Linked DNA regions of Schizosaccharomyces pombe. The gene in region 2 interacts genetically with the main gene of each other region. Each region holds a gene or a part of one and is shown on either strand. Other genes may lie near its edges.

Region 1 (4,592 bases), 2.2 Mb from region 2:
CATTGGGTTAAAAAAATTATAATAATTCAATATATTTTAAGAGAAGAAATTGCGTTGACTAATTTTCGGATGTATTCAAAGAAATCATGAAAAAAAAAACACAAAGAAATAGAAAATGAGAGCACAAGAGAATCAAAATTCTTTTAAAGAACTCATGTCCTTTAAAGAAACTCATTACTTTGTTCTAAGCGAAACGGTCGTTAGGGTTCACCATTGCTTTATTCCGTGAACAAAATTTCAAAACTATTGTACACGGGGAATCCACTGGTGTCTACAACAGGATCATTGCCAGGACGAACCACCAAACCGGTGTGCAACCCGACTTTTCTTGCAGCTTTCAACTCGTTGATATTGTCACTCAAGAAGAGCCATTCTCTAGGATTTGAGTTTCCCACAATTTTCACATAACTGCCACACTCAGTTTTAAGCCCTATAGTAGTATCGTAATATCCAGAGAAATACTTTAGAAGGTTTCCAGCATCTGAATGCTCGAAATACAATTTCTGAGCTGGAACACTCCCACTGGAGTAAATGTAAACACGCATTCCCAATTGCAAACTACGTTGAATAGCAGGAACAACATCGGGGAACAAGTGTGAAGTTAGTTCATTACTTTCATAACCTTTTTTCCAAATACGACCTTGGACCATTTTGAAGGAACGTTCTTTGCTTCCTTCAGCATGCAACTTTCGTAAATTTATCAAGGCCTCTTCAGGCGTTTTTCCAAGTTCTCGCAAGTTTTCATCACTTTCATAATTTTCATTAACATAACTTTCGTATCTTGAAGCAGCGTATGGAAACTAGCATGGGTTAAACACGATCTACATTGTTCTCAATAAAAAACTTCACTTACCAATTTGTCTTTGACAAATGAAATGCTACCCACAGTCCCTTCAATATCCAAGAGCAAATTTTTAACCATTTTTTGTAATAAAGAGATGCCGTACAACTCACTTTTCTTTTAGGACACAAGTTTTATGCAACTTTAAAGAAGTAAGATGTGCAGTAAGTAGGATTAGTACTTTGCGAATTCAGCTATGCATCACGTAAAATAATTTAAGATTACAATTGGAATTTTATTGGATTTTACTTTCTTAAACATATGGAAAAAGAATTTCAACAGCTTGCAGCTTTTTATTGAGAACATGCATTTGAATAATTATCTTATGCATGCCTGTCTTTTAGAATAGAAAATACGGACTAGTTATTTTTTAACCATTTTTTAAATTCATTAATTATTCATAGATTAATCGCGTACAATATATGTTTCTACCAAGATGTCTTTTTTTTGTGGTCAAGATTGATAAGTAGAGCTTATTACGAAACGAATAACATTTTAAGTTAAATAAATCTAAGGGATTTCATACAGACAAAGACTTTCTGTGTACGTTAAAGGAGAAAGGTGTACTAGGAGGATTATCAGGAAGCTCTTTAGCCATATCAACAGCATCAGCAGGTGAGCTCTTATTCATTACAAAAAGACCCTGCAATGAAGCCATACTTGTATTTTTTGGACACACTATATCACTTAAATCGTCAGCCATCTCTGGGGAGTGACCGTAAAAGCGAGTAAACATTTCGCGAACTTGTTCAGGTGTAGCATTTCCAAGATATGCTTTAACGTCAACGCGGCCCGGACGAACGAGAGCTGGATCAAGCTTTTCAGGATGATTAGTTGTCATAAATATAATCCTTTCGTCTGATGAAGTGACACCGTCGAGTGCATTTAACAACCCACTAAATGTAACATTGGCATGAAACCCAACTTCCCCAGATCGTTCCCTACCTTGAAATGCAGAATCAACATCCTCCAGTAAAACTACTGCCTTGGGAGGTACATTAGAAAGTAGATGGTTGAGACGATCGTCAGTTAAGCCTTTTTCAGCCAAGTTTAGAACGCATATGTCGTAGTCCAATTCACCTGCAAGAGCATATAAAAATGAGGTTTTTCCACTTCCAGGAGGTCCATAAAGAAGATAGCCTCTTCTATATGGAATTCCTCTTGTATCATACCATTGTGAATTTCGTAAAAAGTCATGAACGTCGTCTGTAATCATTTTTTTAACATTGCTTTCAAGTACAACACTAGAAAGCATCCTTTTTGATCTAGGGTGCCCGAAAGGCTTCCATTCAGTGGCCCAAGCCGTGTATATAGTAGTCTTGTTTTTTTGAGCACTTTGCATGAATTTTTGAGCTTCTAATAAAAGTTCGGAAAAAATTCCACGATCTCTTGAAAGAGTGGTAAGAGTAATTGTCTCCCAAGGTGTTCCAGTTGTTAAATCTTGCAGACGATTGCTACGCTCTCGTTCTACTTGAATCCAACACTTTTTGTACTTTATGTAATGCTTTCCAGGACCTGGAACGAGGCTGAATATACGATTTGCAACTTGCTTGTCAGGTTTTTCCCTAGCATTTTGCGGCATTTTGAGTTGTCTGTTGCTTTCAACAGCCAGCTGATTTGAATAGCGTTTAGGCACCGTGCTCATCCAATGCAAAAAGGCATTATAACTTTTTTCTTTGCTTGGAATTTCGACAGACACTAGCATCCTTCTTTTTACTAAGCTTGCTCCTGAAATAAGCCCACGACGTAATATGGCTAGCCCAGCACCGAAACCCATTAAACCAATACCAGCACCTAAAAATGAATTTCCACTTAGTAACCCAGAAATGCCAGAAGACGTCGCTGCATCGGCAGCACCTATATTATCCATTTTTAAAGTGGAAAGACGATGAGAAGAAGGGAGGAAAGTTAATATTAATTTAATTCTTCAACGTAACGATAGCGGTTTCTTGCATATAAAGGAAATTTTTGGTATAAATAATTCATAGAAACAATTAAACCTTTATGAATATAATCAATTCTTTACGGAGGACATGTATAACAAAATATTGTAGTAAATCAAATGTCAAAACGCATATGTCAAAATGACCAGTAATTGATAGGTTTCAAACAAAAAAGAAATAAAATGTTCAATGAAGAAATTATATAATCCAATTTTATTGGAATGTTGAGAAAAAATGGAGGAGTTTTTGGTATGAACGAGGTTCTGGGTGAGGTTCATGTAGCCAACAATTTAGTGCTTTGCTAAGAAATTCCAAAAGTCTATGACTTCCGATAGGAGCGAAATAGATATGTTAGAACTAAAGAATAGTATAAAGCTAATTACATGAAACTGTTTTTCACATTGTTAATGTTTGTTTTAAACTTTTAATACCAGCTTGAAAGGTTCTGCTTGAAATAGAGAGAGTAACTTTGCAAAATATTTAACTTTTGACATTGAAATATTTTATGTAAAATGTTGGAAGGATGCATCTTGCTAGTGTTTAATATTTCCAGCCTACATGTGTGTGTTTACTACCCAATTTTTTAGAAATTGTTGCGAGTCTGGAAATCTAAGATCAAAAGTAAAGTATCATATCAAACCTATCCAGTGACAGCAATTGAGTAATTAAGAAAAAATTTCTTCCGAGGTCGCTTGATCTGGACTTTAGAAATGATACAAATGTTAGAGCCTGTAAATAAATTTTTTAATGACTTGATCACATTGATGATGGTAGCATATAATAAATATTCAGAACAAAATAACTGCATATAAATTTGCATTTCACACTAAGATAAGTAATTGATGTAGAACATATACATCCCGATTCTTCATGGCAGAAAAAACGCTTGCAAGTATGTTAGTGATTTGCAATTTTGCACTTGATGAATATAATTAAAAACTAAAGCTGCATCCAAAACATAATTAAATCGAGGCTGATGTATAATATTAATTTTCTTACAGGTATTCGTAAGAGATCGTACTTTGGAAAAAAACTAATGACTTTTAAAATCATTGGGCATACTTTAGTATGAAATTCAAATTGTATTTTGAACTGAGTTGGTGATTATGTATATGCACACTTTCTTTAAAAGATCAAAGATTTTGACAAAGAAAATTCTCTTGGCGAACAAAGAAACATCAACAAAGAACTTGGGAGGAAAGAAATAGTCATTGTTAAAAGCTAAGAAAGGAAAAGTCTTCGAATTTGCCAAAACATTAAGAAATTCTTTATATACTCAAATCAATGTATTTTAACCCACTTGCACTTCTTATACAGGTTTTTCAAGATGCATTTATATTTACATATACTGGTTACCCTGCTATCAATGTTCAACATCATATTCAAGCGTTTTCAAAACCAAAAAAGTTATACTTACAAACCTTGAGTTTTTCATTTCATTTCTTTTTTCTTTCGAGATCAATGAACATACTAAAAAGAATTCATTCAAGCTGAACACCTTCAATGCCTTTCATTGTTTAAAGACTTTATTATATAATTGTACATAATTTAACACAATACAAGCAAGTCCCGAGTGGCTCAATCGGTTTAGAGCGTCTGACTCTTATGATGGTCATCAGAAGGTTGCGAGTTCGAGTCTCGCCTTGGGAGGTTATTTTTTAATGTCTATATCTTACAAGTCCTTCTTATGTTGCAGTAGTGTAAATTACCGTTTTTAACCATCGTGCAACGTGGAACACAAAATTGACTAAATTAGGAAATCCCATTTTCAAAAACTATTATTGACTTCATAAGTTATGAAATGAAAA
Region 2 (4,991 bases):
TGCCTGTCAATCGATCACAGCAAGCTAATGCTCCTCTATGGCAATTGTCATTCTCCCTATCTATATTAGGTACTCTACTTTTCGTAATAGCCGAATCCTTATATTTGATTTCTGGGTCTGATGAATTGGCATACGTCCCCGTTTTTATTTTTGGTGTTATTGTTTTTATGCCTGTACATAAGTTCTGGTTCTTCCAGAGAAAGGTGTTTACTCGACAGTGTCTAAGGATTTTGGGAGGAAGCTACAGACCTGATTACAAATTTCCCGATGTTATATTTTCTGATTTATTGACTTCTTACTCGAGGGTCATTGCTGATCTCTGGCTAGCTGGAGCAATCTTGATTTACGTAACTGACTCACCTAATAACTCTCATAGAAAACAATATGAAAATGAGGTTATTATGTCAATGATTGCAGCGTATCCATACGCTATCCGATTTCGTCAATGTTTGATTGAAAGAAGCTCTGCGGATAATTCATCAGATAAATTTTGGAGTACATTGAATTCTATCAAGTATTTCACTGCTTTTCCAGCGATATTCCTTGGGATTTTTGCAAAGAAAAGATTTAGCTTTCTATGGTTTTTATGGAATACCTCTTCAGCTATAAATTCAACTTATTCATTTTGGTGGGATGTTTCAATGGATTGGAGTCTTCCCTTTTTTAAGCAACCGTTATCAATCCAAAACTGGAAATTTGGGGTTCGGCGTTTATTCCCAACATTCACATTTGCAGTTGTAAGTGCGATTGATTTTGTTTTGCGAATGGCCTGGGTAGTTCGCGTTTTGCCTGAACATCAATCCGCGTTTTTTACCACCGACTTTGGGATCTTTATAATGCAATTTCTTGAAGTTTTCCGACGTTGTGTTTGGGTTTTTTTTCGGATAGAAGCCGAAGCTTCTAAATCATTGGCCTATGTTAACATAAGTGATCGTAGTGACATCCCGACAATACATCCAGATTAAATGGAAATGATTGAAGTTACTATTGTCACATATGTGTAGGTATTACATCTGCAACCTTTTCAAAAAATTTCTTTCTTTAGGGCGTATCAATTTACCGTTCTATTATTTGCTTGGCATATAATATGTTTTTCATTCTTTTATTGCGCTAATGGTTTAATATTGCAAGTACATTGTCATTTGCGGACTTGCAACACAATGGCACCGTCTCGCTGAATTGGGTTTACTTAAAGTAAGAAAGTTACTTAAAATTTTATTATGGATATATACTTTTATTTGTTACATGGGAATCGTAATGGGTTTGAACAAATTTCACCATCTTTTACTGATTAAGTTGTTGAGTCAAAAGTTTAAAACATGAATTTAATAATAAATAAATAAATCAAGCTCTCTTTTTGCATACTGAATAACAAACTAGATCAGTAGACTTTTTTATTGTAAAAACATAATCAGTAAGTATGAAAAGAACCTCCCAAAGAAAACCCCCCAAATTAATCATGCATTTATAGTGTACTCAAATTCCTTCCAAATTTACCTAGACATGAGCATGCTCTATTTATCTACTATCCAAAGAGTTTCCTAAGTGCTCCCGTACCGTTTCCAAAGGATTTGAAACGAATGAAGGGTGCTTCAATATGGCTTGGAACCTTTCGATTTCCTCAACGGTATTTCGTTTCATAGAACTCTTAGTTTGTTTAGAAGATAAACTATCCTTAATTACGGGCTTCAACCTGGAGTTAGCTACCGAAATATCAAGATCAATTTCTGGAAGTACTTCTCCAATCGAAGACACATTGACTTTCAGGTTTTCTCTGGCTTTACGGTTCCGGCGCTTACGAGCCGAAGCAGATATTTTTGGATTAGAAAATTTTTGCTGCCAGTTGAAATGACGGTCTTTCCGTTTATCTTTCTTTGTTTCTTTCAGCGGATCATTGTTGAGCACTTGACTATTCGAAGTAACGGTGGAAGATAACTCGACATTTGGAATACTAGCTTGTTGGCTAGGTTTACCAGAAGACGGTAAACGACTTGATGCTTTTGACGCTAGACTGACTCTTTTTTTTGCTTTTGGCTGTTGTCGTCAGCCAAACGTTTATCTATGGATGAACATACCATGCTAAAATAAAATTGATTGTGAATCAATCGATAAAAATCGTTTTAAATGTTAAATAGGATATATAACCAAAATAATATTTACGATTGGAGTGAAATATCTTGAATATTCGGTGTGCTTTCTGGTTTAAAAATTCACTACAACTATTGGCATCGGATTTAACGGACTGCCCTTGATTGCGTAAGTTGGTTTCATAATATTAGTATTTGAAATGAAAAACTTAACTTACATTAATTTCCATCTTATGTGCAATGAATTAAGAAACAACATTAATTAACAATTTTTATAAATTAAAGCAGTTTTAAATGAATGTCCAACATGGTTCCTAAAGTATTTGCAAACTAAACCCTATAGCCATTTTCCGAATATAAACATTGAAACTTGAAAAGAAAATACATACAAAAATAATTAGGTTAGAGTAACTGGAAGTTACATAAGAAGCCACACAGCCTAGACTTCCTAATCGATATAAAATACTATGAATTAATTACTGGAGCCAGCCAGGCTTGATGGAGCCTTAATTGAAGAAAAGGGAGATAGGGGAGCATTAGAAAACCTTTGAAGAACTTCCCTGTAAATAGAATTTTCAAAAGATTGTATGTCGATTGTTGAAAACGAGTAGCTTTCTTCATAAGCGTCTATAGAAATGCGATTTAAAAAGTTTCTTAATTGAGCGTCCGTTGTGTAAATGCCTAAAGAAGGGGTTCTTGTAGTTGAAGTAAGAATAGAATGTTCGGATTCAACACTGGATTTGTCGTCCTTCTCCGATGCTTGCTCCTGAAGTCGCTCAGAAACCTTTTGTACGAGGGATTTACGGCTAGTTTTTCCGCTCCAATAGACAGCATCTAGTGGACTAAGCATCACAACCCATTCATGTAGCGCAAATTCTTCAAGTTTGAGTGCAGTTAAAAAATCCAAAAGCCTGCATGCGTCTAATAATGTCTCTTTAGAAATGGCAACATTTGGCATACAGTAAGATTTAAAAATGATCAACAATTCGCTAACAACGATTGGCCATAATGGAAGCAAATGCTTCGAAGAGGTCCTTAAAGCTAGAGCTCTAATAAATAAAAACAGGTCCTTTTTTAATACTCCTTCAGGATCAGACGTTATAAGCCGTTTGACAAGGTCAATCAGAGGTGGAAGACTAGGCAGGAAAAAATCACGTGGAGAAGATAACATTAATATTGTGATCCGACATATGTTGCTCTGCCTTGCACCTAGTTGAGTATCCCGAGATGTAAATAAAGTAGTAACGCCTAAATCAGATTTTGTTATGAGATCATTTAATCTAGATATCTCTTGGTACAAAGCTGTGTATATTACTGGAGAAAGCTTTCTTAATTGATCAATATCGAACCTGAACAGTGAATTATCATTAAAAATTTCCCAAAAATCGCGCCTCCATGATTTACTCAAAAACGGATGTTTACTCAACACGAGCAATAAGTCCAAATGATAAGTGGTGAGTGATTCCGGAAATGTCCTAGCCTTTACTAAAGGAGTTATAAATACATTGACGATTGATGTAGCCCAAGCAACTAGTTTATCTTCTTCCTTAGAAAGCTCGGTTATTTTTGGAACAAACTCAGAACAGAAAAAGTCAAGCAAAGAGGGATCTAAGTATTTTACGAATAAATACACGGAGCTAGTTTTCTTTTGTGTTTTGGCAACCTCAAACGTGTCTGCAGCAGCTTTATGATACGCCAGAAAATCTACAGTTAGGTTTGGATCACTTGATTTTCCTGCATGAAATAAGACTGAGGACAATGTTTTCCCCATCAAATCAATAAAGTCTTTTTGCTGGCGAGATTCGCAATAAGTGTTCACGTTTTTTGCAACTTCCAGTAGCATTCGTAAACATACCAGCAAATAGTTTTTAAAGCTGTTTGAGGAAGAAATAATCTCCCGAACAAATTTTGAAATTTCCGTAAAAATCTTAGATGTGTTTTCGCCCTCCACTCTGGAGACGAAGTCAGACATACAGCATAAAATATCGAGTTGTGTAATCTTTGCTGTCAAACTAGAAGGCCCTGCATAACTAGCTATTCCTTCACGTGCAAAAAAAGAAGAAACTAATTGCTTAACAATGTACTGAGGTTCAGAATCACTAAGAAATGAAAATATATCCCATATACACTGGCAACACTCAACATTGTTCTCCAAATAGATTTGTACCAGCGTTTCTACGCATTCAAGAGGTTCACAGAAGTAAAACTCTTTTAATCCCGATAAGGATGCTTCTTTTAAAACCGATGAATCATTCATAAATACTTTTGACGTTTTATCAGCATATGAAGACCGAATATGCCATGAATATGATAAAAATAATGTTTGCAAAGCATCCTGCATAGTTAAAAGCATAGATAATCTCTTGTTGACATCGATGCTAACGCCTGACGACTCCGCTGCAAACACACCAGAAATGACATTTCCGATGATACCATTGGCTTCTAAATTACTTTTCTTGGGGCCGGGTGAATATGTGAATTCCAATAAGGCTGCTGAAACTAACTCGCTAAGCATTTTCAACTTAGCAATAAAAACATCCATGCACGCATAATCTTTTACTGGGTCAGGGTATTTTAGGTACATAGACTCGTGTTGGTCAAGAAATGAATGAACAAATTTGCACAAAGATTGAATGGGATTAACCATCAAAAGTTGAAGGTTTTGTAAAAGAAGAGGTAAAAGCTTCTTTATAGCATGTAGCCACTTTGGCGAAAGTCCTGGATCATCATTCAACATTCCAACCAAAACAAAATTGGACAACAGATAATGCTGTTCAGAGGAAAGATCTATAGTCCCATCTAATCGAGAGAGTAAAAATTCTAGCATTTGCAAAAGACTCAAAATAAAACTTCGATAAGTTGATGAAGGAGAACGCTCAACTTCCTGTACAAGCGCAAACAACC

Evidence for each region.
Region 1: mutations in slx9 (region 2) and bcs1 together harm fitness less than expected from each alone (positive genetic interaction), as found in Schizosaccharomyces pombe (one large-scale study listed by BioGRID).

What each region holds. Positions count from the first base shown.
Region 1 is NC_003424.3:2,684,525-2,689,116, reverse strand, and holds bcs1 (iron-sulfur protein assembly ATPase), read right to left. Parts: upstream 3,054-4,592; 5' UTR 2,712-3,053; coding exon 1,362-2,711; 3' UTR 1,296-1,361; downstream 1-1,295. Other genes in the region: utr4 (methionine salvage haloacid dehalogenase-like hydrolase), read right to left, coding at 219-800, 854-922.
Region 2 is NC_003424.3:495,258-500,248, reverse strand, and holds slx9 (ribosome biogenesis protein), read right to left. Parts: upstream 2,193-4,991; 5' UTR 2,079-2,192; coding exon 2,076-2,078; exon of another isoform or gene 2,035-2,075; coding exon 1,519-2,034; 3' UTR 1,222-1,518; downstream 1-1,221. Other genes in the region: erd1 (EXS domain-containing protein), read left to right, coding at 1-965; dop1 (family protein DOPEY), read right to left, coding at 2,560-4,991.